Oreochromis niloticus: one gene and its partners. The protein of the gene in region 2 purifies or fractionates together with the protein of the main gene of each other region. This does not show direct contact. Links are inferred from orthologs where the notes say so. Each region holds a gene or a part of one and is shown on either strand. Other genes may lie near its edges.

Region 1 (7,708 bases), on a different chromosome or scaffold from region 2:
AGACGGGGTTGGGCTGGGTGGGGTTCTTCTTGTTGTGTTTGTCCCTCAGCATCTTCCGTGTGACTTCAGCCGGCTGCAGGCGAATTCCAAAAACAAAGAAACTCAGGATTTAAAAGCAGCAGATGGTAAACCGAGTGAAATTTAATTTAATATTTATCAATAGAAATAGACTGACCCTTCTAACCTTTAGATTAAACTATTGATCAAGGCAGCTTTTTATTCAGAAAAAAGGATGTTAGGATCTTTCTGCTGAGCCCAAGTGGCCAAAAACAAATCATCTGCATGTCTAATCACTCCTATGTGAAATACAATGAGAATCTAATGTGAATGAGAGCTTTTTTAATCCTTTTTATCCCCTTTATTAGCCTGAGATTCATCATCTCTGATCTGATCTACTTTAAGAAAAAGAAACCTGAATAGCTCTATGAACAAATATTCTGAAACTTAAAAAGGACCATCTCTGTGAACCTCCAACTCATCTTAATTGTAGTACTCCAGAGAGCAGCCTTGTATGACTCACAGTCCAAAATAAGCCTTCTTTATCTTATACTGGGCCTTTGTGCAGCTTCCCAGCTCATTAACTGTTTGAACCAAACTGTTTTAGCTCCCCCATCTTCAAACCCACTTTCCTCTGAGTGACTGCCCCTCAAAAATTATTTGACCAGCAGGTGGTTGGAACTTTGCGCTCTCTTTGACATCACACAGAGCCAAAAGAACAAAAACTATCTGAATCTGTTTCCATATATAAAATCGACCAATAAATACATCCTATCTTAATTAAGTTTCTAGCTGAACTTATTTTAGCTCCAACCTGTCCTGTAGAGTTTCACAGGCTAATCTAACCTTCAGATCAGTAACATCTGAGTAAGAGATGCTCACCAGAGGAGCGTTGGAGCTCGCTGTTACATTGCCAAGCTTCTTACGCAGCTCGTCCAGCTCCTGCATGGACATCTTGGTGCTGGTTTGAGGCAGAGAGTAACTGGTTGTCGTGGTTGAGGTGGTGTTTGCTGAAGACTCCGACCTCTCTTTAGCATTCTGCTGCAGAAACTGGAGGGTCTGCAAAACAATATCAAGACAGGGATGCAAAATTAGATTCAAGTATTTTATCAACCAACTCTCTGATGGAGGGACATAAATCAGCAAATTTCTTACTTTTGCTGTGTACAGTGTCTGGAGTAGATTACATTTTTTAAACTACTTTTCAACATTAATAATAAGGAAATAATTGTGATTTTAGACCAGGAAGTATAGAAATATTTGGACTCTATGACAAAAAGAACCAGATGAAAAGCAGCATGTAAATGAGGCATTACCTCTTTGTCCTCACAGAGTTTGGAGAGCAGATACACCAAAGGGTCGAGGTTCCGAACATTTTTGGACTTAAGCTCCTCATATTTCCTCAAGAAATCCTCCGGGGTTTTAGAAAACTCTGCTAACTTGACCTGAAAGTGACACAACATGCAATATGAATAAAATATTCAAAGAAACATATCTGTTGCGAACATTGGGTGTTTAACTAAGAGTAAGTTATAAAACTTTAGCGTTAGGGAAGTGATCGCCACTGCAAACAAGAAAAGGGGCTCAAGGTGGGGGTGGGATTACATCCCTGACAGACTTCTCAACTAATCCTGACTTCCTCATGCATTACCACAAATCCTGTCTTAGTACCTTATCATATACTTTCTCTAGATCTACAAAAACACACAGTTCAGTTCTTTCTGAACTTCTCTACACTTCTCCATCAACATTCTCAAAACAAGCATCCCATCTGTACTGCTCTTTCTTGGTGTGAAGCCATACGTTCCATTCCCCAGGCATCCTTTCACTCTACAAGATTAACTTCAATACTCTGTCATTGGTATGTCAGGTATGTCATCTGAACCAAGAGCCTTTTCACTCTTGATCCATCCATTGTCGCCTTCACTTACTCCTTACTAATCCTCTGCACTTCCTGATTTCCTACCTGTCCCCCATCTATCCCATCATCCTCTCTCCTCATTTTCTTCATTCATAAGAATCTTAAAGTACTCCTTCTGCCTCCTCACCAAACTCCCTGTACTCATTAGTACATGTGCAATCTGGAAGGACAGCCGGTCATAATGATGCATTTGGGATTTTGCTAAAGTTAACTGCGAGATTAATGTCTCTGGGAGGAGTTAACAAACATTACTATGGTGCCAAGTGCAGAAAAACACTCCTTCTGAGAGAGCCTTTGTCTGCTGTAGTGTGACTGCGTGTCTGATAAGAGGACAGATGCTAATTAAAAACTAAATTATCAACTGATGAGCCATGAAAAGCACTGCAGTGAAGCACAGTGTAGTACAGTATAGCCCACCTTGGCACTGTGCGCGGACACTGTGGTGGTGACATAGGGGGTCCTGTGTTTCTGGAGCAGGTCTATGTAGCCCTCTGCTCCGTCGCCGCCTCGCACATGAAGTAGGCTGAGCAGTTCGTTCACGTCGTGGTGGATCCTGAACTCGCTCATGGCTCCCGCAGCTGCCATAACGACAAAGAGGTTTTACTTTGTAGGAGAGGGCAGAAATAAAGAGAAAGAATTTCGCTCAGGCGGTCACAATGGATATGAACATCAGAGCTGCCGGCTCACACTGACAAACATCAGATGAAGCTTAGTTGAGGGTTTAACGGCTGTATGTTTATGACATCCTGTCTTTCAGTGGTGATGCAGAGCTAACAGTTGTTTACGCTAGCTGGCTAGTTAGCCTGCTACAGCAGGGGGATGCTATCTAGTAGCTCTCTGAGCCAAGTGAAACATGAAATGCCATAAAAGCAAATAACAACGTAACTCAGTAACATGAAGCCCTGTTACAGGTTTAACTAGAGTCTGAAGTCATCACTCTACCTGGCACTCGCCTTTCTGCAGCGTTTACCGGGGCAGATAGCAAACGCGCCCACTACTATCAAATTCTTCTTCTTCTCCAGCAGCGAAGTGACGGCGCCACACTGACCCCTACAGGTCAGTGACCTTGTGACGCCTGACCATACAAAAATAGCCAGAAAATTATGTATTTATTTATTTATTTAAACCGGAGTGTATATTGAATATTCTGACAAATAAAAAAATAAATTAAATATAATTTCACATATATTAGTTAAAAGTTGTAACATTTTGGCTCTTTTGTGCAAAGTATTGCTTATGAAATGTATTGTGCAATTTATTCATGTTTGTCAAGGAGAAAAAAATCAACATTGATAATGCAGAAGTTTCAAAATCTCACAAAAATAATATTTCAAATAAGATTAGGTTAATAGGTAATAATATCTTAATGCTGGGGCTGAAAGTCGAATTGTAATACAAAAAGGAATATAATAACTACTTTTAAAAATCAATTTCGCAAAAATCTATCAATCATAAAACAGGCATTTTCTCTAAAATCACAATACTGCTTTTGTTACTGTACTTGAACCCGGGTAGATGTCTGCTTATGTATAAGTTTGTAGATTAACTGCAGCTACTATGATGCTGACCAAGGTTATTATAGTTAACTAAAACTAAACAAAAAACTAAAATTAGATGTAAAAAAAAAGAACCCAAACAATTTTAGTTAACTAAAATACAAATAAAGATAAACTTCTGATAAAGAATTAAAACTAATTGAAAAGAATTTGTGAACTAAAAAAACCTAATTAAAATAAAATAAGAGGAACTAGCCTTAGTTTAAGTATCTGTTAGTGAAAAATTAATATAAATCAACCTACTGTTTATGATGATGTGAAAACAGCAGAAAACATAATTTATTTTAATAAACGCACTAACAGTTTAATTCTTTAACTAATGGAAGTACATCAAATATTAGGGTCTCTAGTTCACTAAGATATCATGGTATCGTGTGTACGTCTTTCACACAGAAGTGGAGATCCACGACCAAAGAGACTTCCTCCACCATGGGCATCGTGGGCTGAATGTAGAACCAGAGCTTCTGTTGCTGGCGGTGTTCCAGCTGTGTGACCAGAATCAGATATTCCTTCATCACCATCCTCATCGCCGCTGTCAGGGCGTGGTTCACCTGGCCGTCCTGAAAGGATGATTTCTCCTCAATCAAACTCGAGGAAAAACGCAGCATGTCGCCTTTAATAATCACTTAATAATCACCACTTTAAGCAAAGATCACATGATTCTGAATTATTTTATATTTATGTAACTTTTCGGGCTGTAAATCGCTGTCGCTTACATTCACAGTATCAGTTAATCGTTAAACATGACGAAAGTATAAAGTATAGCCCTAATTCATGTAATATGCCTATTTAATTTCATCCACCCTGTGTATAAAAATAATAATCTAATGTATAAAATTCTCAGGGTCATTACTGGAGTATTTTGGAGTTTCTGATGCAACAAGCACATCTACCACAGCTGACATGACTGCTGACATCATCCAAAACTTCAGAGTCATCTACTCCCTCCCCGAACATAGCTGAGGACTTTACTGAGGCACCACAGGCTTCTACAGCTTTCTCCGACATAACTGAATCTGCAGAGGTATGTACTGGGGTCTTTGCAGTGTGCATGATTTGGTGGATCTAAATGGTAAATGGACTAGTTCTTATATAGCACTTTTCTATTCTACCTGTGCACTCAAAGTGCTGTGCGTAAAGAGTTTTGGGGCTACATGTAAAATCTTGTTTAGGACCACCAAATCCTAGAGTCAGCCCTGGAAAGGGGTCAGTGCAGAATAAACGGTTTAGGACAGGGGTGTCCAAAGTCCGGCGTTGGCCCGCGGTCCATTTTTAATTGGCCCTCAAGTAATTTTATAAATAGAATAGAAAATAGCCCGCACTTCAACTTTTGCTTGAGTGTATTGCACTTCTTAGTTTTAACACCAGGGGGAGCTACTGTTAATCAAGGCAGTTGCTCTACCAAAAAGGACAATCACAGAAGAAATTTACCCCAAGTTACCAAACATGGCAGAACCAAAGAAGCAGAAGGTAGAAAGTGAATGCAGAAAATTTCAGACACGGGGGGAGTGAATATTTCTTCAAAGAATTAAAGGGGACGTGTGTCTGTTTGATCTGCACTGAAACTGTGGCAGTTATGAAAGAGTATAATGTACGACGTCATTATGAAACCAAACATCAGGCCTATGCATCCTACACTGGTGCTGAGCGAGAGCAGAAATTAAAGCAAATGCTAGCTATCATGCGGGGTCAGCAACAGTATTTTTTTCGTGCTCAAATTGTCCAGGAAAAGGCTCCAATAGCAGCTATGAGGTCGCCCAACTCATCGCAAGACATGGCAAGCCTTTTTCAGATGGAGACCTCATAAAACGCTGCCTCGTTAAAGTCACCGAAATAATGTGCCCGAAAAAAGTGCAGGACTTCAACAATGTCAGCATGTCCAGAACTACAGTTGTGCCACGCACTGAAGACTGTCAGCCAACATTAAACTGCAACTGTCTGATAAAGCTGTGCTTTTGATTTTTACTCCATCGCATGCGATCCGAGCACTGATGCCACAGACACCGCACAGCTGCTAATTTTTTTTTTGCGGGGAGTGGACGAGAGCACGAGCACTTTAGGTGAGTAAAAAATATATTCCACAGTACCCGTGTGTTAATAAGCATGCATGTGCAGGTACACATGCTTCAAATATCAATAATGCGCATCAATTCTGTCACTATCCTGCTTTTGCGCACCACTTTCTTATATGCGTTTTTCTTGTTAACCAGTGTTGGGCAAGTTACTTTGAAATAGTAATTCAATTATAGTTACTAGTTACTTCTTCAAAAAAGTAACTGAGTTAGTAACTGAGTTACAATATTCTAAAAGTAATTAATTACTTGGAAAAGTAACTATTGCGTTACTTAAAAAAACAAAAACAAAGAACGTTTAACCCCCTGGCGTCCAGGGTATAATTGGCCATTTTTTTTACTACTCTTGATTTTCTCTCCACATTTTACCTTTAACAACTATTTACTTTGCCTTGTTTGGTATCATTCTTTTTAGCGCAACCTCACGTGCCTGAATTTACAGTTATGTTCTCATTTTGTCATACTGTATAACCAGAATTGATCTAAAATCAGACAAAAAACATAAAATCACAGTAGAAAAAGTTATTTTTACTGTAACAACCATAAACATGTTTAATGAATCATATTTCATAACTTCAAATGCAAATATTAATTGTCAATTTTAAAATCCTATGCACAAGTTTTGCAAACAACAAAGTTATTTGCATCCATTTACTTTTTACCCCTTTTTTAAATAACCATTTCAAACTATTTAAAGAACAATCAGCTGTTCTTCAATAAGATGCCACACAAATTATTTGTGCCACTCCAAAAAAATCATTTCTGTCCACTATAAAGGAGAACATCACAGCCTGATACCTGCAGGTCTGACAGCAGCAGGTGTATCACTCCTGTTTCTACCTGGAGACAGCAGTCGCCTCATTGTTCTGACACACAACACAAAACTATCCACAACACTACACACTAACTACACAAGACAACACATTAACTACACACTCCAAACACGCTAAACGTCACAAATCTCACATCTCAAAACTCGCTCTCTCTCTTTTCCTGCTCTCTCCCTCTCTCCCTCTCTCTTTCTCTCACCGTCACTCCTAAAACTTTTTTTTGTTTTGTTTTTTTGCTCATAAGCAGAGAGTGCTTGCTAGCGCTAACGTGGCGAAACTATTGAGGGAAAAACGCCGCGTATATATTGTTTATCATGACTCTGGTTTTACGTGGCCTATCGACACAATTTAAAAACTGTCACCTTGTTGCTTTGTCTTTAAGTGGTCATGTGATTGACTTATGACTACTTTATTCTTCCTCAGTCAAACAGCAGCACTCATGCGATTGTTTTGCCTCCTTAGCTCCAGGTGTTGTGCTAGACAGTGATCGTGATTAGCGTCTGCGGGAGCGCGCAGCTGCTTAAAGCTGTAGCGTCCAGATTACTTACAGCTACTTCCGTGCAACTGATATAAGATGCGGTAAGCTGAACACAGCTTCAACCGTCTGTTTGTTGAAAAATAGTAACGGACCGCGTTTCCTTGTTAGTAACTGTAACGCCGTTGTAACGATAGGAATAGTAATTAGTTAGATTACTCATTACCAGTGTTGGTCAAGTTACTTGAAAAAAGTAATCAGTTACTAATTACTGATTACTTCCCCCAAAAAGTAATCCCGTTAATTTACTGATTACTTATTTTCAAAAGTAATTAATTACTTAGTTACTTAGTTAGTTACTTTTTAAAAACACGATTTACAACCTGAATAGGTGATAAAGCGATAGATCTTTCAGCCCAATTCTACTTTTTCTGCATAATCCATCATACAAAATGTAATCAAATGGAAAAGTCTCTTTTTAAAACTTGTTTTATTAGTTTTAATCTTTTAACTTTATGCATCAAGCAAAAATTAAATTATATGCAACATTCTCTGACTGGAAGAAATTTGTTTAACATTTAAACCTATTTTCTGCACATTCCAGCACATAAAATAAAATATTTTTTTGTGTTTACACTCACTCTTTCAAATAGATGCAAGTAAAACACAGCAGAAAATAAATAAAATCAAAGACTAGCGGTCCTGTTGCTCTATTTTCACCTGTAAAGCAGGACTGGGGTAGGCGGAGGTTTACCCTGGTGCAGGTGTGCTGCAGCGGTCAGTGGAAGAATCCGCGAGTTTCTCTGTGAATTTCACATTACGTCGTAGTACACTCGGTGCTTGCTTGGAAGTTTAGG
Region 2 (7,805 bases):
TATGCCCGGAGCCATACCGGAACAGTTTTTAGACCGTGGCAGGAGGAATTGTTAAACAATGTTTGATAAGCTGGCACAAAGCAGCAGCTTCTAGGGCTGAAAAATGAAGCAAACTTAGAGCTTCAAAAAATTGACGTAACTCAAATAGCCACTTTTACGGTGGCCCTGAGAGGTCAAACAAGCAACTGGAAAAACGCTGCAAAAGCTCACAAAACAGAATTTCAATAAAACACAATGGAAACAAAAAAAATGCTGCAAAGCTCACACCACAAATCAATCCCTCACATCACTGATGAAACTTCCTCTTCTCTTCATTACATGTGTTTCATTTAAACCCTACACATGTTTTGGTTTCTGTCACTTCTGCAGCTGTTCAGTCACATCATTGTTGCTGTAAAAATATTTTGTTGTGTTTTATTTAATTTCGGTTGTGTTTTGTGTGTTTTTGCAGTTTTTTATTTTCCATTTGCTGGTGTTTCCTTACATCACAGTACATTTGACCTCTCACTGCCACCACACCCTTGAGTCTGCCTACGAAATTGAGTCAATCTGTAGAGAACTTCTATTGGCTACTCCCTTTAGGGGTCGTCACAGCGACGCCATCTGCCACGTCACTCTACCCTAGCACCCTCCTCTGTCACTTTAACCCTGTCGTCTTTCACTACATCTTTGAGTGTTCTCTGTTAACTTCCTCTTTACCCCCAGCAGACAGCTCCATCTTCAACACTTTTTGTCAAGTATATCCACTATCTCCATAGCTTCATTCAAAAATACTGGTGCCCACCAATGCTAAACCTTTAGACACTGAGCAGATGCATCAATGGATGTATAAGTTTGAAAATCATATGCTATTTTCTGAAAGTTGACAACTGACCTTGCTATTAAAGTTAGTGTCACCAGGATTTAAACTCCCAGAGGTTTTCAGCAGATGCAAATACAGTATTGAATGACTTTTAAAATCCTACATCGCCTCACAAACTTGGGTATCCACACCACCTGCAATCAGCTCTCTGCTGGACCTCAATTTTGCTAATTTCAGTCAGAAAACCTCACCTGTTTTACATTATTTTTAATAAACACCTAATATGAACTCCTGTGCAGTTAAGTCCCCTAACAGACCATGTCCTTGTCCAAATATGGTTACTTCTGGCTCCAATATACCTCTGGCCAAAATACTAGAAGCCAAGGCCTTAAAACTAGACTCTGCAACCCAATGGGCACCGTGACTACATTCGTCTTTTATATACTGTATGTGAACGTCAAAGTGAAATACACACAAAGCCAAGATTTCCCAGCAGAACTGTGCATTTAACTAGATGCTCCAAATTATTCACTTCACCTGTCAGTGGTCCAAGTCACACAAAAGTACTAGTTAAATTCAAGAACATGCTATAAATATCCAAAGCACAGAAAGCACAAAACATACCTTGAGTGTTTAGATAATAGTGTTTCCAGAGGGGTCTGAGCTTGTGCTTCCCACCCACATCCCAGATGGTGAATTTTAGGTTCTTATATTCAACCGTCTCCACATTGAAACCTTGGACAAAGATTAAAAACAAGCTTTAATATAGGATAATATTAAAAAAAAAGACTTGCATTATCCTGACTCTAAAGTAACTCTGTGAACCATTAAACTGCAAGTGCATTCACCAATGGTTGGGATGGGCTGCATGAACTCGTCTTGCTTCAGCTTGAAGAGGATGGTGGTTTTTCCAGCGCCATCGAGCCCCAGAGTCACTACGCGGATCTCCATCTTTGGACCAATGTGGACCCTGTTGTCCTGAAAGGACATTTTCAATGTCATTACTACATTTATAGGAAAACCCAAGGCTTTTCCATTTTTTGTGACATACTTGGTTTACAGAAGCAAATTTCTATGAACAGCGACAGTATGTACCTTAGTGAAGGTGACTGGGATGCCAGCATCCAGCTGAATGTGATCTGCCAGCTCAGTGAACTGGTGTTGCTGCTTCTGAAGCGTCTCCAGCAAACAGTTGATCTCCTGCTTTGCCAGAACAACTCTGCAGTCGTCCTAAAGCACATAAGAAGCAACGCACATCACACCTTTAAAGGCATTACACAAGCATTTCCACAAATCACCACAGCTTTGATCTTAACTGGGGTGAGGAAAAAGAAGGAAACGAGTTCCTAAACTCCTCACATCTCCTACCTGCTGAAGTGTTTTCTCACAGTGCAGGCAGGCGGTGGACACCTGAGACAGCAGGATGGTCATATCCTCCTGCTGCTGCCTCAGCCAGATGAGCCTCTCCCTTACATGTGCATCCACCACGCTCAGCGCCATCTCCTCCTGTCGACACAGGGTCTCGTGCAGATCTGCAAAATAAGCTCGGACGCAGGAGCGGGCGCTCTCTGCTGTGCCGGGGACCTGAAGCACACACGGGAAAGATATAAGTGCCAAAACAGAAGCATGATCATTTGTATTTTATTAAGAAGCCCTTTGTCTTACATGTTCAGTGTGTGCCATGCCTACTCCATCCTCAACTATCTGCTCGCCACCTTCTATCTGCTGCACGATGCCCACCAACTTCCTCGAGTACTCGGACACCTCCTCTGTGAAGGTTCGGATACAGTGGGCCATGTCGAGAATGGATGCACGAATCTGATTGGCTTCAGTCTCAAGAACGGCATGCTGTTAGGGAAAATAGGGCAATATATAACCATATCTTTTTCAGTGACTATATCTAATATGGGAACAAGTTTTTCAGCTACCTTATGGCCCTGGTGCTTGCCATACTCCTTACATACACAGCACATGAGGGGCCCGGACTGACAAGCTTCCTCCAGGCAGACAAACTCGATGGCGTGGACCTGATGCTGTGGACACAGGGTCTTCTCATGGGGCTTATCGGCCAGTGGCACCCGCCGGTGTTTGGCCAGTGTTCGAGTGGAGTGGGTGAGCTGAGAGCACTCGCCACACAGGTGGGTGGCACACACGGTACAGTACATGGAGGCTGTGTGGCTCTCATCCTCATCGCAGCGAATTATACACTAGTTTAAAAAAAGATGGATTGAGGATAAAGCATGCAGAAGGTGTGAAGGTGACACATCTCTTATCAGTAAAATCATAGCTGCCTTACTTCTCCCATGCCTTTCAAGGCATCCTCTGCCATTCCTGACTGGTTAGTCGCTCCATTCTGGAGTCTCTCCAAGAGTTCAAGCAGAGCAAAGTTTTTCTTTAGACCCCAAACTCCAGAGTCCCCTAAGCAAATGTGAAGAAAGCAAACTCACTTTGAAAGGCAAATAATGCCAGCACTGTACAGCTCCATGCCCTCAAAAACAACTTTAGCCTCAACTGGATCACAGATTTCTGCAGCGAGAATAATGTTTTCTGTAATAAACACCCAATTTTTCACAACTTCTGGGTAAAAGTCTTTTGTTTTTAAGGGGCTGGCATGAAGTCAAATTAACAGAAACATGCAGATCACAGGATGTTGTTCTAAGGTTCTTAGTTGGTTTTGATAGCTCTTTTTATGCTCTTGTTTTTAGAAGAATGAGCAGTCTCAGGATTCAGCAACTGAATTTCACTTAATGATTTATATAGCAGGTATTACACATATGTGTCCGCTATATATACAATGCTGGAAAGCGTGATGACATCACTCACCCAGCTCAGTGACCTGCCTGTCAAAGGGGGCAGCGGACCGCTCTGCCATGGAGGGGCAACCGGGTTAGACAGTCATGGCACACCGTGTGGCCGCAGAGCAGAAGACGAGGGACCTTGTCCCCCCTGGAGAGAGAAGACATCCTCACAAACACCACATTCCAGCACCTGCAAATAAACATATACCAGTATTAAAGCACCCGATCACTGGGGCGTACAGATGCTTCTGGGTTACTGCAGAGAGATGCTCTATAAGGTCTCAGACAGAACAATAACTAGTCGGATGCAGTCATCTTGACCCGTAGCGTTACAGTTGAATAACACTTCTGATTTCTACTTTCAGTGATCTTTAAGTGAATGCATTGAAAGCAGTACGAAAAGCAGCTTCTGACACGGTCACACTCTGAGCTGGGCTCCCTCACAGAGGAACTGCAGCAGTGAAGCACAGCTAGCACAGACGCCAACTAGCGACAGAAGACCAGCCAGCTCATCTGCTAGCATGATGCAGGCACAAATACCAGCCATGTCAACGTGCACAAGTCTAAAGGTATAAAGCAGCGCTAAAAAAATGACCGTCTTGTGAAACAGTGTTTACACATGACTCTGTTCCGATTTATAAAATAAAGCTCTGACATCCTCCTGCCAACGACGCCAACGCAGCAGCATTCGCCCAAAATCAAAAGCGTCAGAGGCAAGCCTGATGTCGGTCATTCGCTCAACATAACAAAACAGCCAAACACCAGCGATCGACATGTAGTTTGATCCAAGATTGTAGTGACACCATTACAACCTTAACCGTGCTCCCATTAGCTCCTCTCCCGTGTCGGATACAGGGCTCCATCGTCGCTACGGCGCCCTGCTTGTTTATTCCTGCTGCAGCAGCGGCCATTCTTGGACGACAGCGCAGAGACCCGAGCAGGTTTGAGAGGACAATCCCCAGAAGCACTTCCGGTTTCGTTCTTTTTCGCTCTATTAGCATCTCTACTAGTATAGGCTACCGTGCCTATATATTTCCAGTGACTTATGTTCAATTTACGAAAAAAAACCCTGCCCAAATAAATACCTAAGGGCGTTTGAAAATAGCTGAGTAGCGGCAAGATTTCCCCCTGGAAAGACTTTTTAAATTAATATGGGGTTGTAAAACATGGATTTAAAATCTTAAATGAAGACGTGACGGACAACTGAATAATGTAACTTTTAAAAACCCACTTTTTTCTTGTATTTTATTTTTGCGTGCATTACGTATGAAAGGCAAGACAATGACGTATTTTTGGCGCGTCACGCTTGGCTCAAACAGAAGCAACTGAACGTTGGGCATTGCGCTCTTAATGGTAGGTATATTTTAATTTTGAGGAATCAGGCGTTTGCTGTGTTAATCATTTAGGTCTCATTGTGGTTATATTTTTGATAAATTTTGATATTTTTGATTCGGAGAGGAGGTTCAGTTACGCCGTGTTTCGCCGTGGGCGGGCAACAATCGTTTACGCTGTTTTTCTTTTGGTCATTGCATCTTATTTTACCTTCTTATTTAATCTAACCCCTCAGTTCATTAGTGATGTCTCAACAAGCACAACAAACGATTCCCTCCGCCCCTGACTCCCCTGCGCTGGTTGTCACATCTAACGTGCAGAAATATGCAATAAAGAAGAAGAAAGTCCTCAGCGCCGAAGAAATGGAGCTGTTCGAACTTACTCAGGCTGCAGGAATCACTGTGGATCAGGAAGTTTTTAAGTATGTTTAATAATAATCGGCCTTAACTGTGGTTTACATGGAGGAGAAGACCGTGGTTTTATGTCCTCACCCCCTTCCTCCTCCTCACAGAATCATAGTCGACTTGCTGAAGATGAATGTGGCTCCTCAAGCGGTCTTCCAGACTTTGAAGGCAATGTGTGCAGGACAGAGGGTAGCTGAAAGCTGTGGTGTAGACCCTTCAACTGGCACCCACACCACAAGCATGACCACAGCGCACACAGAAGCCAGAGGTTAGTATCTGAAGAATGGGATGTAATGCAACTGAAAGTATATGTATATTTTTCATTTAAATGTTGAATATCTTTCAGCGCACATAGTCTGGCTTCTTTTAACTAAGAAACATTGCAGAAATCAGGCTGGGAAGTTTTAGTCTCCCCATTTATACTGTCTTATCCTAGTCCGTTCATGTTTTCCCCCTCTGTTGGGTCCTCCTAACCCAACATTGGTCAGTCCAGGATGCAGCAGCCACAAACACTAGCTAGGATTTAGATATCCGTCCCCCCAGATCACAACTGACTGAGGAAAAGTGGGCTGTCATTTGTCACCTACAGTTTAACCCTCTGAAAGTCAGGAAAGTTTAGGATGTGTTTTGCTCTTTTTAATCATTATGGGTTCACTTTTTTTTACGGCAATATAAAACCCTGCACCTTTAAGGAAAGCCAAGGCTAGAAGGAGAAAGAACTCATCACTGTCTTTTGTAAAGTGTAGCATAGTTATGCCACAAATCTTTATTATGTTAACATAAATTATGTATGTAGTGTTTTTTTTAAAATCGATATATAAACTGTTATTGTATAAACTATCAAAATTCCCAGATCTCGGTCTAATCAAACATCTGTGAGATATGATAAGTCCGATCCATGGAGTCCCCACCTCACATCTTAAAGGACTTAAAGGATCTGTTGCTAACCTCTTGGTCCCAGATACCAAAGCACACCTCTAGGGCATCTAGTGGAGTCCATGTGGACCAACACAATATTAGGCAGTTGGTGATAATGTTATGCTTGAGTGGTGTATGAGCTGGTGGGAATGGAGAACATCAAAGGTCCAAGGATTAGGGAACATTAGGGAAGAACACTGGTCAGAGGGGGTCCTGAGACCAACCTACTTTCCAATGCAAACAAGCCCAGTTGTTGGTAACAGTAATTTCTGATAACAAAAAGCGTGTGTGTATGTGGCTACAGATTAGATTTTTGATGCAAAGACTCAGAATTTTAAATTTCTTTTTCTAACAATTTATGTTATATTCTTTCTTTGCTCTTCTCTTTGCTTTTTAAGTGTGTGAAATTATCACGTTCCCCCATTTAAGTTCTGTACACGCTGTAGCAGAGGTTCTGTGCCGCACTCTTCCCTTACCTGACCTCACTAACTAAATCCAATCTTCACTTCACCCCACACAGCACGGTTTTCCACATAAAAGGAGGGTATCTGAAGACAGGCATAGTCATGCAAACTCATCTACAAATCGCTCATCCTCACTGTGTTACAGGTTTTTCTGATTTCCTCTCTATCCCGGTCAGTTCTTTCTTTTCTTTCTTTTTTTCTGTGTGTCTTGTTTCCTGAAGAAGAGGACTCTTTGGCTTCTGGAAAGAGCCCTAAACCTGCCGCAGCTCCCCCCTCAGCAGCAGGCCCCAGAGCCACAAGGGTCAACACTAAGATTGTGGTCTACAGCCCCCAAGACACTAGTTCTCCTCACTCTCAAGGTCCCTTTTGCTGCACTCTCTCCTCCACCTTCATCTGCCCACTTGCTTGCCTTTCTCATTAACAAAAGTTGTATTTATGTGCAATTTGATATGGAGCAGGATTTGGGAAAAAAAAAACTGCATGCTGTGCTTTCTTTATATGTGCATGCATGCGATTGTGTGTGGACCGCAAAAATTGAATTTGCCCTTGGATGTTTTCATACTCAAGGAGATTTATTCACTGTGCAGTGGATTTTTTTCCCTTTGTTTTTAAGTGGCTAGAAAGTTAAAAAAGAAACTCTGAAGTACTTTTTTATTGATTCTTTTACACAAGAGTAGCTTGAATTTACAAGTTAAAAAAAAGAAGTCTTTTATGTTGCTGTGTGGTGATTAACCTGTCACCATATGAGTGGCGGCACAAAAGAAGGGGATCTTGACTTGGTTCATACAATATGCACTTATTGAGTTCTATTTTCAGGATTTCACTAAAGACTTACAGATTAATAATGATAGTCAAGTTTATAGTCTTCTACAGTATAAATGGTCAGAAACTTAAACTTGACAAATAAAGCAGAGAAAAGTGTGCGGGCACCAAGCTTTTTATGACTTTATAAATAACGTATTAAACATTTGACTTGCTAAGAACCCTAACCCTAAGCAACCCCAATGTCTTGATTTTGTATTTGTAAATGGTTACATCAGTTTAGTGATATATAATACAGAACTTTCACTTGAAGAAGCCCTTTCAG
Region 3 (7,960 bases), on a different chromosome or scaffold from region 2:
ATGATTATCTTTGAAACTTGCCTAATAAATGAATTATACACTGAATATTTCAGCCACAACTCACTACCATATGATTCTCCAAAAGCTGATTCTGTTCATCTGGACGTTTTCAGTGGAAGAAACGTTTCGTCACTCATCCAGGTGACGTCTTCAGTCTCAGCTGACTGCAGGTTTCCCCAATCTTATAAACAGTACATTTGCATAATGACTGAAACCAGCCCACTGAAGGAACAATGGGCTGGGAGGTCACCTTCATCATGATTATGCAAATTCTCATGACCATTGATCAACAACCACTGATCAATTGCCATGAGTACCATTCACCGCTACGTCCAGATGAACAGAATCAACTTTTGGAGATTTACTTACCTGGATGATTGAGCATGTATTAGGACATCTATATATGAAGCTGTAAAACAAAGACTGCTAACATTTTTTCTGATACTTCTATTTAAATATAGTCAAGACATTTGTCTGTATTACACTTTTATAACTGCTTACACCATAAAAGAAAGACAGAGTTATGTCAGCTTAGCTCTGACACACAACAGGCACACTCTCCATCTCACACTTTTATTAGAACACATCTGTTTTCTAAACACACAGAATGAGATGTGTACAAGATGTTCCTTCTTTGCCTTTCATAAAAGACATCAAATCAAATCAAATGGCGCTCCCACACACTGTCCTGCTTACAGCTGGAATATTCATTTGAATAGACCTTTTGAAAAAATACCACACCCATTCACCCACTTGTAAATTTTAACTGCAAAAAGCACCAAACACATGGATACAAAACAGACGAGTTTACATGTAAATAACAGCAATGAAAGACAATGTTGCAGCAAAAGGAAGAAGGGAAGTAAGTAATGTTGGTAATTATTTCAATGAGAGCAGAGCTTAAAAACACAAAAAGCCTTTCTCTGGTTTCTAACATAAAATCAGTATAACACAGATCTCCTTTGGGGATCGTGTTAAGCACCAGGAGGATTGCCAGGATTTATACATCAGGGAAACCAAACAACCTCTGGCGAAGAGGATGGCAGATCATCAGGCCAGGACTATTTACGCCTACAGGCCAGTGATGAGGATGTACACATCCTGGACAGGGAGGAACGCTGGTTTGAGCGCAGAGTCAACAAGGCCATTTACATGAAAAGGGAAAGACCATCTCTGAATCGAGGAGGGGTCTGTGTGTGTGGGCTTCCAGTAAACTTCGATGTTGAGGTTGCCATTCTCTTCAATGTGCACAGCACAGTCCAGGAATGGCAAACAGTTATCCTTTGTGTCTTCCCTGGTGAACTTTATGTTTTTATCCACAGCGTTGATGTGAGCAGTGAAGGATTCCACTTCTTGTGTTTTGATTTTGACCCAGGTGTTGTCCACATATCTTTACCAGTGGCTAGGTGCTCTCCTTTTAAAAGAGCCAAGAGCCTCTTCTTCCACTTCCATGTTCCATGTGACCGTGCCGTGCGCACTGAAGGGAATGGAAACCTCAACACTGAAGTTTACTGGAAGCCCACACACACGGACCAGTACCTCCTCTTTGACTCCCACCACCCTCTGGAACACAAACTTGGAGTAATTAGGACCCTACACCACCGGGCAGAACATGTTCCCTCTAAGCCTGAAGGGAAAAAGAAGGAACACACACATGTAAAGGAAGCACTGAAAACATGCGGTTATCCTAACTGGGCGTTTATCAAGTCAGCAAAGAGGCACAGAAAAGAAGATCAGACACCAGCGAGGGAGGATAAGAAAGACAGACGCAACAACATTGTCATCCAACATGTAGCCGGTGTATCAGAGAAACTCAGGAGAGTTTTCTCCAAGCACAACATCCCAGTTTACCTTAGACCCAGCAACACACTCAGACACAAACTGGTTCATCCCAAAGACAAAACTCCAAAACACAGACTGAACAATGTGGTGTATGCTGTACATTGTAGTGAGGAATGCCCAGACCTCTATACTGGAGAGACCAAACAGCCACTTCACAAGCGCACAACATAGAAGAGCCACCTCCACGGGACAAGACTCAGCAGTCCATCTGCATCTAAAGGTCAAAGGTCACTCTTTCGAGGCGCCAATGTTCACATTTTGGACAGCGAGGACAGATGATTTATGTCCACTGTGAGCGACCATCTTTGAACAGAGGCGGTGGTTTACGACACCAACTGTCTGCCATCTATAATCCAGTTTTGAGATCCTTCCCACACGCCTTAACGCCCACTCACATCCTGGGCCATCTGACCTCAGGAAATCACATGATAGGGTGGGGCCAGGTTTCACAATGAGCTCACCCGAAACCCTGGCTGATTGGGACCCACCTTGGCTCATGTGATTAGGTAGAGGATCATCAGGGGGTCCTTTTGTCCCTCTTTGGAGGGGTTACTCCCAAAGAGCTTAAATCTGGGACTCTCCACCATTTGACCCTAGAACTGAAGAAGCTTCTCTACTGAGAGGTGAAACGTCTTCAAGCAACTTAAAGTTTAAGTCCAGACGCTTTTCTATCCAAGATCCTTAGACTACGATGACCTGAATGACTGAGAACCTTCACAGACATGCCTAAATGCACAGATTTGCAGTAATGCGATTGGCTGATACTTGCGTAAACGAACAGGGGTACCTAATAAAAAGGCAGGTGAGTGACGTTTCATCTTGCAGTATTCAAACCTGCCAATTGTCAGTAAGCTATCCTAGCAAAAATGCATATCTTTAATATAGTGCTACCAAAGCTAATAATTTAGCTTATGCATAATTGAATTGTAATAAATTGTCAAGCTTTGACTTGTAACCACATGCATATTAGCTAACATCTGAGTGAAGTTATCGTATCAGAGAACTGCAGTGTTTCCGTGTTACCTGTAAACCTGTTCGTTTGTTCCATGTAAAAATCGTCCCCGGGTATCCGCTCAGCGCCAGTAAGAGCTCGTGAATCATGTCAATGAAACTTAAAGTGTCTGAAATTCAAATTGTAGCGGAGAGATTCCCATTCAGCCACCAAAACAAACCGCCGCCCGAGCCGTCGCAGATTTGTTACGTGAGCGCGAAAAGCATCACGGGAAGAGTGCTGCAGGAGCCGGAGACATCGCTCCACGGTAGTGGAAGAGTCAGGCTTGCGATGTTATTTGTTTTTAAAATCGACAAGAGCCTTTAGCAACTCCACGCGTGCTTCGTTTGGGTTTCAATTAGCTCTGCGAGATGCGTAAACACAAGCCAGCTCATGGGAATTGTAGTTTTTTTCCTGTGCACTAAGATATCGTCGCGAGTCTGGCGTCATCATTCGGTCATGTAACTAGCTGAAGCACATCGCAACGGAGAGCGCTTGGTATGTCGTAGTTACTGTATAAAATACTAACTTTATATTTCCCGTGCAAGCGACGGCAATCCCGTTACTCTCGTTTATGTCTGTGTTTTTGCTGTTAGCGTGTCTTCTGCTGTAGCTAATGTTATTCCACTAGCCGTTTGTCCTAACGTTAGTTCGTGGAGTCGGTTTGTTGGGTCCACTCTGGTATATTTACTAGTTGACACAACAAACGTTAGGCTGCTCTCAGGCAAGTCAGCAGGAAAACACCAGCGGTTTGAAACTAGTAGGGCCACCGCCATTTTACGTCGTCTAACGCAGACCTGTTGAGTTTAAGTGGCATGATTCACGCTAGCACTGCTAACCGCTAACAAATAAATAAGCTGCTGCTAGTTTTCTGTTGTTCTTCTAACCGTAAAACCGTGTCTGAGTGCAGGGATGGCGGGGGAGAGTGGCGGAGAGGACGTGGTTGCAGAGTACCTGGGCCAGAATCCGCAGCTGGCCCAATGGGTGGAAACATTCAGAAGCTACTGTGAGAGCAACAAGCAGTGGGTCGCTCGGAGAGAGTTCATCCTTAGGAACATGGAGGCTTTCCCGACAGTGAAGCCAGGAGTCTCCAGCAGCAGCCTGGACAGGCTGCTCTCTTTGTCCATGGTCTGGGCTAATCACGTTTTCCTGGGCTGCAGGTAGGACACGCTGATGGAGCAGAATGACAAGCTGTGGATGCTCTCCGCTATAATAAGAGTTCATTGTTACCTTTTAAATCCCTCAGCTATCCACAGGCTGTAATGGACAAGATCAAAGAGATGGGAGAAGGGATAAAAGTCCAAGATCCTCCTGTTCACAAAACAACAAAAGATGAATTCACAGCCAGAGGAAAGAGGAGCGCATCAGCTGGTAAGCAGTGCACATGTTTAACATTTCATCTTCACAGGTTACATTTGGGAAAACTACCTGTTATTTAATGGGTCCAGGTTTTTCTGCTGCTGCTTGATAACGACAGAAAATCATAATAATTGATTTTTGAGTGTTTGGCCTGTAGTCTCATACTTCTACCTTCTCTGGAATATTCAGGGTGATATATACATAGGAAACCAATGGTGACAGGTGACATTAACACACCTGTACTGATGATATCATCAAAAACAGCCCGCAAAGATAATATAATACAGCCATGTTGATTTTCCTATAAATTTCATTTAAGGACCGTTTAAGTGCCGGCTGTAGTTGAAATCATTTCCATTGTGTATATCATTTAAAAAGCCCAGTTAACAATGCTTAAAATGCTATTGTGCATTGTGATTGCATTGGATTCAAATACTATTAGTGACTTCCCACTCTGAATTTTCCACTGGAACATCGCCTCAGGTCAGATTTCCAACTCAGAAAGTCGGAGCAGCCCGACCAAGCCTGACTCAACAATCCATGATAGCGGCTGTGAATGCAAACAGCAGTAAATCTGTAATACTTTAAATCTGGGCTGTGACTGTTGTGTGTTTGTGACTAAGCCACACACAGAGCAGGATCTGTCACGAACGGGCTGCAGCGTTTTTAAGTGCAAAAAACAAACACTGCTTGCTAATAATGCACAAACCTCGTCAAGCTTGCTAAGAAGCAAAAGAGATCCTGTCACTCCGACGTGTCAACACGGACATATATGAACACACAGAGTAATATTTGCATTAGTTTCATCCTCCATGATAACAGGTTAAGGTTACCTTGGATGGCTTTTACAAGTGATGTGACTTCAATCTAAGAATAGATTTGACAGTTTTCTGTAGCTCGTTACTGACCAACAAATCCATTTCACTGCTGTTCTCTGTTGCTGTGAGGTTTCAGTGTAATTACCTACGCACAGGGTTTTTTCCCTTTCACACACGCACACCTGAGGCTCTGTTTCCTCATTAAATACAGATTCCTGTGCAGTCAACGTTTTCCTGCCTGCTGTGTCATCTTTTGCAGAGCTTGAGGATGACAGCTGCGTGAAAAGAGCCAAGGCTGGGCCTAATGAGCTCGACAGCAGACCTGCGCTCAGGACGGCGGCGCGGCCTGCGAGTCAGAAGCTGGGACCACCTCCACAGGCTCCAGCAGAGCACCAGCCCTTCTTCAACCGCCTGTACAAGGCTGTGGCGTGGAAACTGGTGTCAGCCGGGGGCTTTGGGCCCAACTTGGACCATTTTGAAATCCTTCGCAGCTGCGTGGAGTCGTGCAAGCAAACCCTGACGTGCGTGTTTGTGCCGCTGAAGGACATCACGGGCCTCCCCGCGGGCCGCACACAGAAGGAAGGCCACGTGTGTGAAATTCGCTGTCAGACTGTTTTCATGGGCACAGGATACGGGCGCGACGAGGCCGCTGCCAGAGCCATGGCTTCCAAAGAAGCCCTTAAAGTATTTCAGGGGCGGAAAGTCACTGTAAAGATCTGTCGGCGGAGGTACAAAGGGAAAGACGTGGATGATCTGATGCTGTTGGACGAACAGCCCCGCAGTCAGGGCTTTCCTCCTGCTCTCAGCTACCCTTTTCAGGACGAGCAGCTGGAAGACAGTTCATCGTAGAAGCTTTGACTGGGTGGAGCTACTGAAGGCGTTCACGCCTGTGTCGGGACCAGACTGTTATGCAGCTGACCATCGTAGCTAAGCCCAGAGAATATTAGGTAACTTGGAGCATTAACTGTCATGGTGCATTTCACACAATACCTTCATTTCTTAATAATCTTACGCGTGCACGATCACCAGAACAATAAAACTAGTCCCAAGTCTGCAAAAAAAACAAACCCACTCCACTGCTCCTGATATTTTCAGCCATTATCTGAGTTGTAAAGACAGCAAACAGCGAACCAAAGTGTGTGGAGTGAGCGCCTGTGGCACTGGTTAAAAGTCCAGCAGCCACCAATGAGCAAAACTGCAATATTACACTGTTTGTGACTGTTTATGACAAAAGCAGTTTGGCCAGTAGTTCGTTCCCCCTTCAGTTCATTCCTGTGTCACAGCTTTTTATCTGCTGATTTCATGAGGGTAACACAGGAGTACATGAGGTTTTATTTGATTGGTAGGAGTTGGGTTTTGGTTTTTTAGGTTCCAACTCACAACGTACAAGCAAAGTGAGTCACACGGACTCAACAATTACAGCTTCAATAACCTGGCAGGGTAACGATTCTTTTCTAAACATGATGTACTGTTCCTTACTGAGAATATTAAAAAAACATCAGACTGTGGCGCACCAGTCTGCATTTAGTTTAGTTGTTTCTTGTTTCAGTGATAAATGTCAGTCTTTTCCTTTAATCGTACTCGTGAAGGGTTGCAATGACATTGCTATTCTGTCGTGAGCTGCACTTAAAGAGGGGGGGCCTCTTACGCTCATTCCCATCTCCATATTTAGATTCTGTAACATAATTCACAGTCATTCTTATTTGTTTCAGCCCCTCCCCCTGTCTGAAACCAGCTGATTCAGCTCCTTTCCCTCTCAGCCAGCTGTATTCTAATTGGCTGCCCTTCATGAACAGCAGGATGATCAGTGTGCTGTGTGTCTGACAGAGCCACGCCTGCTCTCGCTGATGTCACACAGAGCCAAGAGGAGAAAAACGGGCAGCTTTTGGCTCACACGGTGTTACTTGCACATTCCCTGGTTTTTCTAAACACTGGTTTTATTGTTAATATGAGTGTCGCCCACTGTAACAGTATATGTGATATCATATTAGGAGAGCAGGGCTGCACCTTATTGAATTGATCACATTATTCTTAATTTTTCGATTAGCTTGGAGAAACAGTGCGTTGATTATGTCTTAGTTCAGACAAACTAAATCTGAAATCCTGGTTACAGTCATGGTTACTGGTTTCCAGTTCTTCATGGAACTGGCATCCCAGTGATTCAAAAACATGTCCACACGGACTTAACTGAAGATTGTTTTTTTTATTATTCAGACAGAAACTGAGGGAGACTCTGCCAACTACAGTACCTGTTTGACTGTAAATGCTACTGCTTTTCTTTGATATTATTATAAATAAGTTGATGTTAAAAAAGAGAAAGTTTGAAGTATTTGGTTGTTAATATGAAGAATGTTTGTTTGGACGCGTCGTGTGTGTTTCTGATGTGTTTGAGGGTAAAGTGCTGCCGTAACGTGTTTGTTTCTTTCTTGCAGTCTCGGTTGAAATTGAACAGGGTTGCGTTAAAGTGTGAGTATCTATACTGTTCCATTGTACGTTTACGCCAGTGCTCCTGTTTCTATATATTTTTAAATAAACCAAATTGAAACTAAGCTAAGTGTGTTTTGTGTGAGCACCAGAGCTCGAGGGGTGTTAGTTACGGTCTCTTAAACCTAATGATCTCATTTCACTTTGAGGATTTCTGAACAGTACAGAAATCTGGACTCCATGAGCTGACATGGGTCACGTATTTCCTCTCGTTACCGTTAATTAGCTCAAGTTCATCCACAGCTGCACTTCCTGACTCAGTGGCTCATTAGAAATCGTAAAACGATCACGGCTGAGGAGCCGTCAGCGATTTGAGTGACATTCATGCTCGACCTCCTCCCACAGCTGAAATTAACTTATTGTTTATATAAGCAGGCTTCGGGCCTCTTCGACACAGCTGAGTGGACTGCATTCACATGACTGGGCTCTTATTTATTTTCCACTGGACACAGGCCACGATCCGCTC
Region 4 (7,858 bases), on a different chromosome or scaffold from region 2:
TCTGTAGTTTGCAAACATTATGTAATATAACATCTAGGTTTAAATCAACACTGACAAGTTTGTTAAGTTAACATTTTATCTATTTCAACTGTTAATTTGTCTAGTTTACTTGGTTTAACTCACCTGACTTACCTGTGTTCCAGGAGCAAAAGGACGAAGTGCTGCCTCACTTCCTGTATTTATAGCTTCCTGTTTAGTTTCTGATGTCACATCTAGGGACCAGGTGAAGAGGTGAAGCCTATTGTTTGGATAGCTTGAGTCTTTAAGTAGAAGAACTCGGGTGTTCGAGAGGAGAGGACCAGGTCAGTTTAGCTGAGTGCACTTGACATTAATTTTTGTTGGTTTAAGTTCAGTTATGTTTATTTGTACCAACTTAACTTTGGAGTTGAGTTTTTCTTCATGTTTGTAAAGATTTTTGGTCACAATGAGTGTGAATAAATCATTTTTTACCCTGGACAGCATATGTCTCCTGCCCTTCTTCAGCCACTTTGGCCAAAGCTATCTTACAGATAGGCTGAGTTAAATCTGGGACATATTAACAGACCGGGATCGTTATCTGACCATCAGAGCAAAGTGCAGCCGCTCACACAAGACGCTGCTGTGAACCATCAACGACACAATTAAAGTTTAATTCAATCAGCACGATCGAAACATGAAACACGCTTTAGTTCTTCTACAGAACCTCAAGTCCCTGACTCCTGCGTCCATAATATCTTTGTGACGGAAACACCAAATCAGGCTGCTGGGCACAGACGGAGCGTCTGCTCTGAATCCTCGCAGTCCTCGAGTTCTGCAGCGTTTGTTTTCCTACCTGTGCTTCAGCAAACTCACACTAACACATCACAGCATCACACACGCTCCAACAACCACACTACACGAACTACACAACACACCTAACGTCAGCGCTTCGGTTCTCCAGAGGTGGTATCTGTATCTGAGGCTGGCTGACAGCCCACCAATCAGGAGTCACGCTGCACACATCGAGTTTGTTCACATGAACTACAGACACACACACACACACACACACACACACACACACACACACACACACACACACACACACACGCACGGACAGAGACACACACAGACTTGACCCAGGCTTCGTTTAAATAGTCTGACCTCTGACCTTTGTGGTCGTGTTTTTAGTTTCCAATGTTTCCGCAACGTGGCGTCCATCGAGCCGAGGACACGACGTCATCAGCTCTGCACGCACACCGCTGCCTGCCGTTAACACGCAGACAACCTGCGAGAGAACTTCCTCCTGCACGGTTCATGCCATCAGTGGCAAGTTTAAGTTTCCTCTAACACCTGCTTCCTTTCTCAGCCCGATGATCTGCCTCCAGCCACACCTGAATCTTTAAATCTGCCCCACACACCCAGCAGCCTCGGACCTCTTTGCTTACTGTGAGCCTGATGATGTCACCATGTTACATCCTGTCTGTGTAGGCGTGTTTCCTGATGCAGGAACAGCTGTTAGACACTACACTGTGAACAGGTGAGTGCAGTCCTGATTGAGTTTTAATCATTGTTAAGCGCTGTAGATTGTATCGCAGTCACTGACGCGGCTTTAACCTGTAACTTTAGTGCGTACAGGTGATGTTACAGACTCACGGGTTTTACCCGCAGGCACAGATTCATCATCGACTCTCATGTTCACATCACCCACAACCATCCGGGTGGCGGGTCACCTGACTCTCATTTCTTTGAGTCTGGTTCAGTTTATTTTTTTCTCTCGTTTTGTTCACCTGACGAGGACTAGGACCCGCAGCTGCGCTCAACATTGGAGCGAGAGCTCCATCAGCGACTGTGACACAGCTAAACCACCTGCAAACATCTGCTTTTATAGAATATTACCATTTAGATTTTGAATCCGAATGATGTTGGTTTTGTGCTGCTTGGTGACACAGTTATGATCATTACTACCTGCTACTACCTTTTGTTTGCATTTTATGTCAGAAATAAAATTCCTCTGCATCCTGCCTCACTCGTGTCACTTCCTGTCATTAACTTGTCAGAGCATCTTCCTCCTCTGAGATAAACAAACCATTAACTTTGTTTTCTTAATCTAACTGGAGGAAGAACAGCTACATGACCTCAGCAGATTATTACAGCAGATTAATAATCCTCAGCAGATTATTGGCTGCTCTTCCTGGCACTGTGTGTGTGTTACAGAGTGTGTTTTTTATAGGGTGTGTTATAGTGTGTGTTTGTGTCTGTTACAGCATGCGTGTATCTATGTCTGGTACAGTGTGTGTGTGTGTGTGTGTGTGTGTGTCAGTTAGAGTGTATGTGTGTGGTGAGAGGGCTCAGTCTGGGGTTAAGTCATGTGACCTGCCATGTCATCAGCGTGGAGGCTGTGATGTATGAAAGTCTGAGTCTCTGTTTCACCTGCATTGTGATCCAAGCGGGTCAGGTCAGAGGTCACAGATCAGCAACATAAACAGACGCTTGTCCGCTTACCTCGGCCCACGGCTCCGTCATGACGCCGTGTCCTCCTCATGTGTCTTCTGGTAGCCCAGCTGCCTCATGACCTCGCCACAGGACGCCTCCACCTGACTGATCTGCTCCACGCTCAGCCGCTCCCTCCAGGCGTGGACAGCCTCCTTGGCGTCGCGGGAGGAGATGAGGAATGGTCTGTCGGAAGAGTAGCCGTGCCCGCGTGTCATATTGAGCGCAAAGCTCTCGAGCGCGGCGGAAGTGGGCAGGTCAGCGAAGCGCAACAGCCTGCGTAGCTGCTCGGCCGGCCGAAGCACCAGGTCCTCGTAGCGAAGGCGCAGGTAGCGGCTGCGCAGCCAGGGCGGTGCGCGCAGCTGCAGCAGCAGGTCGCGCAGCCAGCCGTCACAGATGAGCTCCAGCGCGCCCGACACGTAGCTCTCCGCGCGCGTCGCACGGTTCGCTGGCGCGAGCAACCGCTTGTACCTGTCGCTCTGTCTGCGGCTGCGTAGCACCTGGATGCTCTCCTTCACCAGAGCGTGCTTCGACTTCAGGCGCGAATTGTGCACGGCGCGCGGGTCCCGGAACAGCTGCACGACGCGCAGGTTCACACTGGGGTCCCGTATCAGCGGCACGAGCGTGCCCAGGTCCAGCACGCGCACACCTTTGATCACCATCACCGGGTACTTCCGACACTCGCGCTCCAGCTCTCGCAGTTCCCTGCGCGGGCACTGCGCACACAGCTCCTCCTTCACCAGCCCCACCTCGTGGCGCCGGTGGGCGCGGCACAGCGGCTCGGAGCACAGCACCTTGTTGTTCTTCCAGCCGAAGATGAAAGCGCTGCTCACGTTCTGCGCGCCCGCGTATAGCCGCAGCACCGAGAAGTCACAGCGGAAGAGCGCGCTCATCATGTCGCGCACGGCGCCCTGCAGGCTCTGCGCGTCCCCGGGGTACAGCGCCTGCCAGATGTGCCACATGGGCTCGTACAGGTAGAACACGTCCGGGTGCTGGTTGAACAGTTCGCCCAGGAAGGAGGAGCCGGTCCTCCAGGTGGCGTGCAGGTAGACGTGGATCCGTGGCTGGCTGCGGTTGGAGGAGGGCTCGGTCGCCGGCTCGCTGCCGTTGGGGCCGCCAGCGTCCTCCCACGGCAGCTCCAGCTCCGGGCAGCGGGGCTGGAGCTGCGCCGCCGGCCGGGTCGCCCGGTCCCGGGAGTCAAGCACGTAGGGCAGCAGCAGCAGCAGTCCGGTGTAGGCCAGGATAAGCAGCAGGTACTTCTTGTTCAGCCTCCTCTTCATCTCCGCGCAGGGTCGCTGCTATACGGAGTGTTAGCCACGCCCCCCGCCGCTTCGTCCGGGTAGAAATACCAGCACGGCCGTCTCACACCAGGACTGCTGCCGTCCACCGTCTCTGTCAGTTAAGAGTGCGGAGTGTGGGGGCGGGCCTTGTTGACGCCGACAACAGAGAGCATCGAAGGAAAGAGGCGTCCACCAAAAGCACCCGCCCCTGAGCGCGCTGAATTATGGGAGACCCAGTGTTTCAGAGCAGTCACAGCCAGCTGTGAGCGCTTTAAGCTTATAATAAAAAAAAAGCTTTTAGCTTATATTTTTTTTCTGCTAATAACATAGCTCATGGGTTCACAGAGGGCCCTAGCAAGTCTATAGCTGTAAAACAAAATTGCTATGAACATTTTTCTTCTGGAAACATAGTGTGTTAAGAATGTATAAATATTCGATTATAAAGAAATAAATATAGTCAAATCAAAAGTTATTTACAGGCTTTTATTTTCGTAAAATCTTGTATTGTACATATGTGAGCATAACCTGAGCATCTGCAGAGAATCATCACCATCACCACGGGGGCTTTTGACTGCGCTCCTCACCTGGTAAACAGGCGATATCAAGATAGCGCGTCCTCTCGTTGACCCGTAAACGAGCATTATCTGGGTCACTGCAAGAACTAAAACATGGACTTGTTGTCTAGAAGCACTTCCCTTGAGCGTATTTCAGTGCTTTTTGTTTACTAGTGCCCGTGCGCCCACTGCTGCTCATACGGATGCATTACCGCCATTTTCCTACATAGATTCACAGGAAGTGGAATATTCAGTTTTTGTCCTTTTTTTTGTACCGACTGAGAAACGAGGTTTAACAATTTAAAAACAGTAAAAAATAAAAACCGTAACTAATTTGAATTGTTTTTGCGCATGCTCAGTCCTATTTGTTTGTTATGGAGGTGGGGCTAAGACTGCGCGGTCCTGTAGGAATCAATGGAGGAGACGGCCGTTTGTCTATAATGGCGCATTTAAGACATCCCCGGTGCTGTTAGCCTGTTCGCGGGTGGAAACTGCGGGCTGGAAGCCGACCGAGAGGCCGCTTCGATCTGTGCCCGTTCACGGCGACTGCAGCCCGGCTGACAGCGTCAACATGGCGCACTGGAGCACCTTCGAAAAGGAGAGTGAGAGAGAGACGAGGCGGCTGATCAGGTGTCTCAGCGGGATCGAGGATGAGGAGGACCAGAACTTCCAGCTGGCGCTCAAATTCGCCTGGTCCAACTTTAAGTGAGTTTTTACGGGTGTGTGAGGGAGCAGGCTGCTGCACGCAGCGTACTAACATCCGCCTCGTGTCTCCTCAGGTTTCATCGATATCTGGACACAGACAGCCACAAAGTGGAGCGCAGTGTCAGCGGGTGAGTGACTCCTTCAAAACAGTGAAGTCTGAGCAAACTAAACATCCCATGTAGGCAAACCTTTAAAGGCGACTTCAGGATTTTCCACATAAAAACCTTGAAGAGGAACAATGTATGTTCTCCTTCAGGGCTCTGCATGTCCTTCTGTCCCAGCATCCTCCTCTGTCACTGCACCCTTCTGCATGTCCCCCTTCGCTCCATCCACCAACCTCCTCTGAGCTCTTCCTCTTCTCCTCCTGCCTGGCAGCTCCATCGTCATCCTCCGCTCTTCGTCTCCTGCTAAGTTATGGTATAGTGACAGTCTGTCGTGTTTTCCAGAATCTACGAGAAGCTCGTGGTGCACTCGGACCTACAGAAAGCAGAAAGCTGGATGAGACTGACTGAAGAATTCCTGAACTCACCTTTACCTAACACAGATGGGAAAAAGGTAGCGCACAGCTGTTTTCTGCTCTATCACAGACGGACACACGATCCATACTCATGTGCGACACCAGTCAGTGTTGGCATGCTGCATCATATTCTAGTATGAAACTTGTGAACAAGAGTCAGAGGGGATTTTGGAAGGATGAAGGTAATAAATGTAAACTTGCCATCAATAAACAATCACATTAGTCTTTTCAAGTCAAGTGGCCTTATTATCATTCCCACCATGTGTAGTGGTACAGTACACAGTGAAGCGAGACAGCATTCCTCCAAGACCATGGTGCTGCATATATCAGACAATCAACACAAGACTACATAAAGTGTGCAAAAAACCAAAACAAAGACAGAATGATACAGACACAACAGTGCAACAGAAAAGTGCACAGTAATAAAGTCTAATAAAGTATTTCTGTGTGCATAAAGTGTGCGCTTGTTTTCTGACAGATGACACAGGCCTAATGGCTTGGTATCACATGTTACACACACAGTTTTCTGGTGTGTAGGGCTCAAACACTGAAACGTGACTGCAATGATGTGAGAATATCTCAGTGAAATGTGATCTGTGTTTCCTCAGACCGATGCACACTACAGCATACTGTCACTGCTGCTCTGCCTGTCGGGATCCCCCTCAAACACAGACTTTACAGAGAGACCCAGACTAAAGGAGGCCGGTGAGAACCGCATTGTTCCCTTTATCTGTGACCAATGTGTCAACACATTCTGAAGTCATTAAATCTGCTTTTCTTATGTTGGAGTTAAAAACACACACTGTGCAAACAGAAGGTTTTTCACATATTCTTCCAAAGCAGGAAGAATTTTTTTCTCTCATTAAATATAGAACTTTTTAAACCAAAGCTTGGTTTTAGTGAATCCCACATTACAGATGCTAATGATGCTTTGACACCAGGATCAGACAAACAGATTCTAGTGAAGTCATCACAGTCGCACCCATGTTTCTGTTTCAGAGTCACAGTGAAAGCTTCAGCGGCAGGAAACCTGCCCACCGTGTTTCACTGCACAACATCAGTGCAGTGATTATAAGTTCACTTCATGTCAAAGCCCAGAAAGTTAAAAAAATGACTTGTTTCCAGATAACCTTAGCACTTAGCCTTGAAGGCTAAAAATCACACAGTTTATGTTAATCTTTCCGTCTTATGTCTGCAGAACCAGAGGACAAGTTTGACTGGGCTAAATATCTGATGGAGGGTGAGGACACAGACATGGGGCCGTACCCAGACACACCTGTGAGTCACCGATCCCACCTGTTTCTGATTCTCTGAGCAAAAACCCGACTGCCATGAGCTTTTAGATTATTATAGAAAATATAAACTGTTCTAAAAAGGTTTGTTCTGCAACATGAGCACCACACCACAGTCACATGACTTTAACATCATCACTAACTTGTGTTCACCGGCAAAAAAACAAAACTAATTTCTGACCCACAAGTACAAAGCCAGAAAAGCTCCAACAAAGTCAGACGCTGAAAAAAGATAAAGAAAGAATCAAACGTGAGCTTGTGTTGAATCTGACGGCAGCGTCACGTCTGTAAAGTAGGACAGATCTGTGCTTCCTCTCTGACATCACTCTGTGATGGTCTGTGAACTGAGGACAGCAGCTGCTCGGGTCTGATTGAGGATTCCGGCTGCTCGGCAGTTCCGGCTCTGCTTCATCCTGTTGTTGCTTTCACAACGCTCCAGATGTTGTCGGCCAGTCAGAGGTCTGGATTGCAGCCGGGCCAGACTCTTCTCTGAAGCCATGCTGATGATTCTGACCTGATATCACTTGTGGCTTCGTGTCAGCATGACGAAGCTGTAACCTGCATGTGTGGACAGCACGCCGAGCTGCTCGCAGACGCTGGTTTCTGGAAATGTTCCTGAGCCGTGCACTGATTTATCACAGAGCAGTGTTTCTGCTGAAGGTCACAGTCATCAGCCTGTGCACAGAGGTTCCTCCAGATCCTCCAAGTGTGCTGATGATGTCATGTTGTGTAGATGAGGAGATGTTCACAGTGAGGACCATGATTCTGAAACAGGTTGGTGAACCTCTGAGAAGCTCCGCCTCTCTGTCGCCAAATTCCCCATGAGCTCAGATTCGTCACGAAGCAGTAAAATGTCTCATTTTGAGTATTTACTGTTTTCTGTGCTCTAATGTGGATAAAATATGAGTTTATAGGATTTGCAGTGTTGGGAAATCAGTTTTACCCCGGTTCTTTTTCATTCCTCGGGCCTCCAGAGATGCACCGGGCCCAGTAGTCATTTTTACAAAATCTTTATTCATCTTCATTCATCTTTACTTATTCTTTATTCTTAACTCATTCTTT

Evidence for each region.
Region 1: the proteins of mzt2b (region 2) and tubgcp2 purify together in Homo sapiens (affinity purification with mass spectrometry; 5 studies listed by BioGRID and IntAct, counting the BioPlex papers as one, with this or other methods). This does not show direct contact. The link is inferred for Oreochromis niloticus from reciprocal best matches to the Homo sapiens genes MZT2B and TUBGCP2.
Region 3: the proteins of mzt2b (region 2) and tubgcp4 purify together in Homo sapiens (affinity purification with mass spectrometry; 3 studies listed by BioGRID and IntAct, counting the BioPlex papers as one, with this or other methods). This does not show direct contact. The link is inferred for Oreochromis niloticus from reciprocal best matches to the Homo sapiens genes MZT2B and TUBGCP4.
Region 4: the proteins of mzt2b (region 2) and tubgcp5 purify together in Homo sapiens (affinity purification with mass spectrometry; 3 studies listed by BioGRID and IntAct, counting the BioPlex papers as one, with this or other methods). This does not show direct contact. The link is inferred for Oreochromis niloticus from reciprocal best matches to the Homo sapiens genes MZT2B and TUBGCP5.

Annotation. Positions count from the first base shown.
Region 1 is NC_031973.2:4,932,662-4,940,369, forward strand, and holds the start of tubgcp2 (gamma-tubulin complex component 2), read right to left. Parts: upstream 3,014-7,708; 5' UTR 2,861-3,013; intron 2,497-2,860; 5' UTR 2,486-2,496; coding exon 2,336-2,485; intron 1,443-2,335; coding exon 1,314-1,442; intron 1,057-1,313; coding exon 880-1,056; intron 74-879; coding exon 1-73. UniProt on the Homo sapiens protein: Component of the gamma-tubulin ring complex (gTuRC) which mediates microtubule nucleation.
Region 2 is NC_031972.2:12,028,113-12,035,917, forward strand, and holds the start of mzt2b (mitotic-spindle organizing protein 2), read left to right. Parts: upstream 1-4,796; 5' UTR 4,797-4,950; coding exon of another isoform or gene 4,951-4,953; intron 4,954-5,167; 5' UTR 5,168-5,177; coding exon 5,178-5,353; intron 5,354-5,443; coding exon 5,444-5,604; intron 5,605-6,939; coding exon 6,940-7,077; intron 7,078-7,805. UniProt on the Homo sapiens protein: Required for the recruitment and the assembly of the gamma-tubulin ring complex (gTuRC) at the centrosome.
Region 3 is NC_031965.2:1,219,100-1,227,059, forward strand, and holds the start of tubgcp4 (gamma-tubulin complex component 4), read right to left. Parts: upstream 2,944-7,960; coding exon 2,866-2,943; intron 1-2,865. Other genes in the region: cdkn2aip (CDKN2A-interacting protein), read left to right, coding at 2,942-3,101, 3,744-3,993, 4,080-4,204, 5,270-5,859. UniProt on the Homo sapiens protein: Component of the gamma-tubulin ring complex (gTuRC) which mediates microtubule nucleation.
Region 4 is NC_031986.2:35,924,589-35,932,446, forward strand, and holds the start of tubgcp5 (gamma-tubulin complex component 5), read left to right. Parts: upstream 1-4,853; coding exon 4,854-4,987; intron 4,988-5,061; coding exon 5,062-5,115; intron 5,116-5,433; coding exon 5,434-5,542; intron 5,543-6,112; coding exon 6,113-6,209; intron 6,210-6,702; coding exon 6,703-6,782; intron 6,783-7,858. Other genes in the region: chst7 (carbohydrate sulfotransferase 7), read right to left, coding at 2,478-3,728. UniProt on the Homo sapiens protein: Component of the gamma-tubulin ring complex (gTuRC) which mediates microtubule nucleation.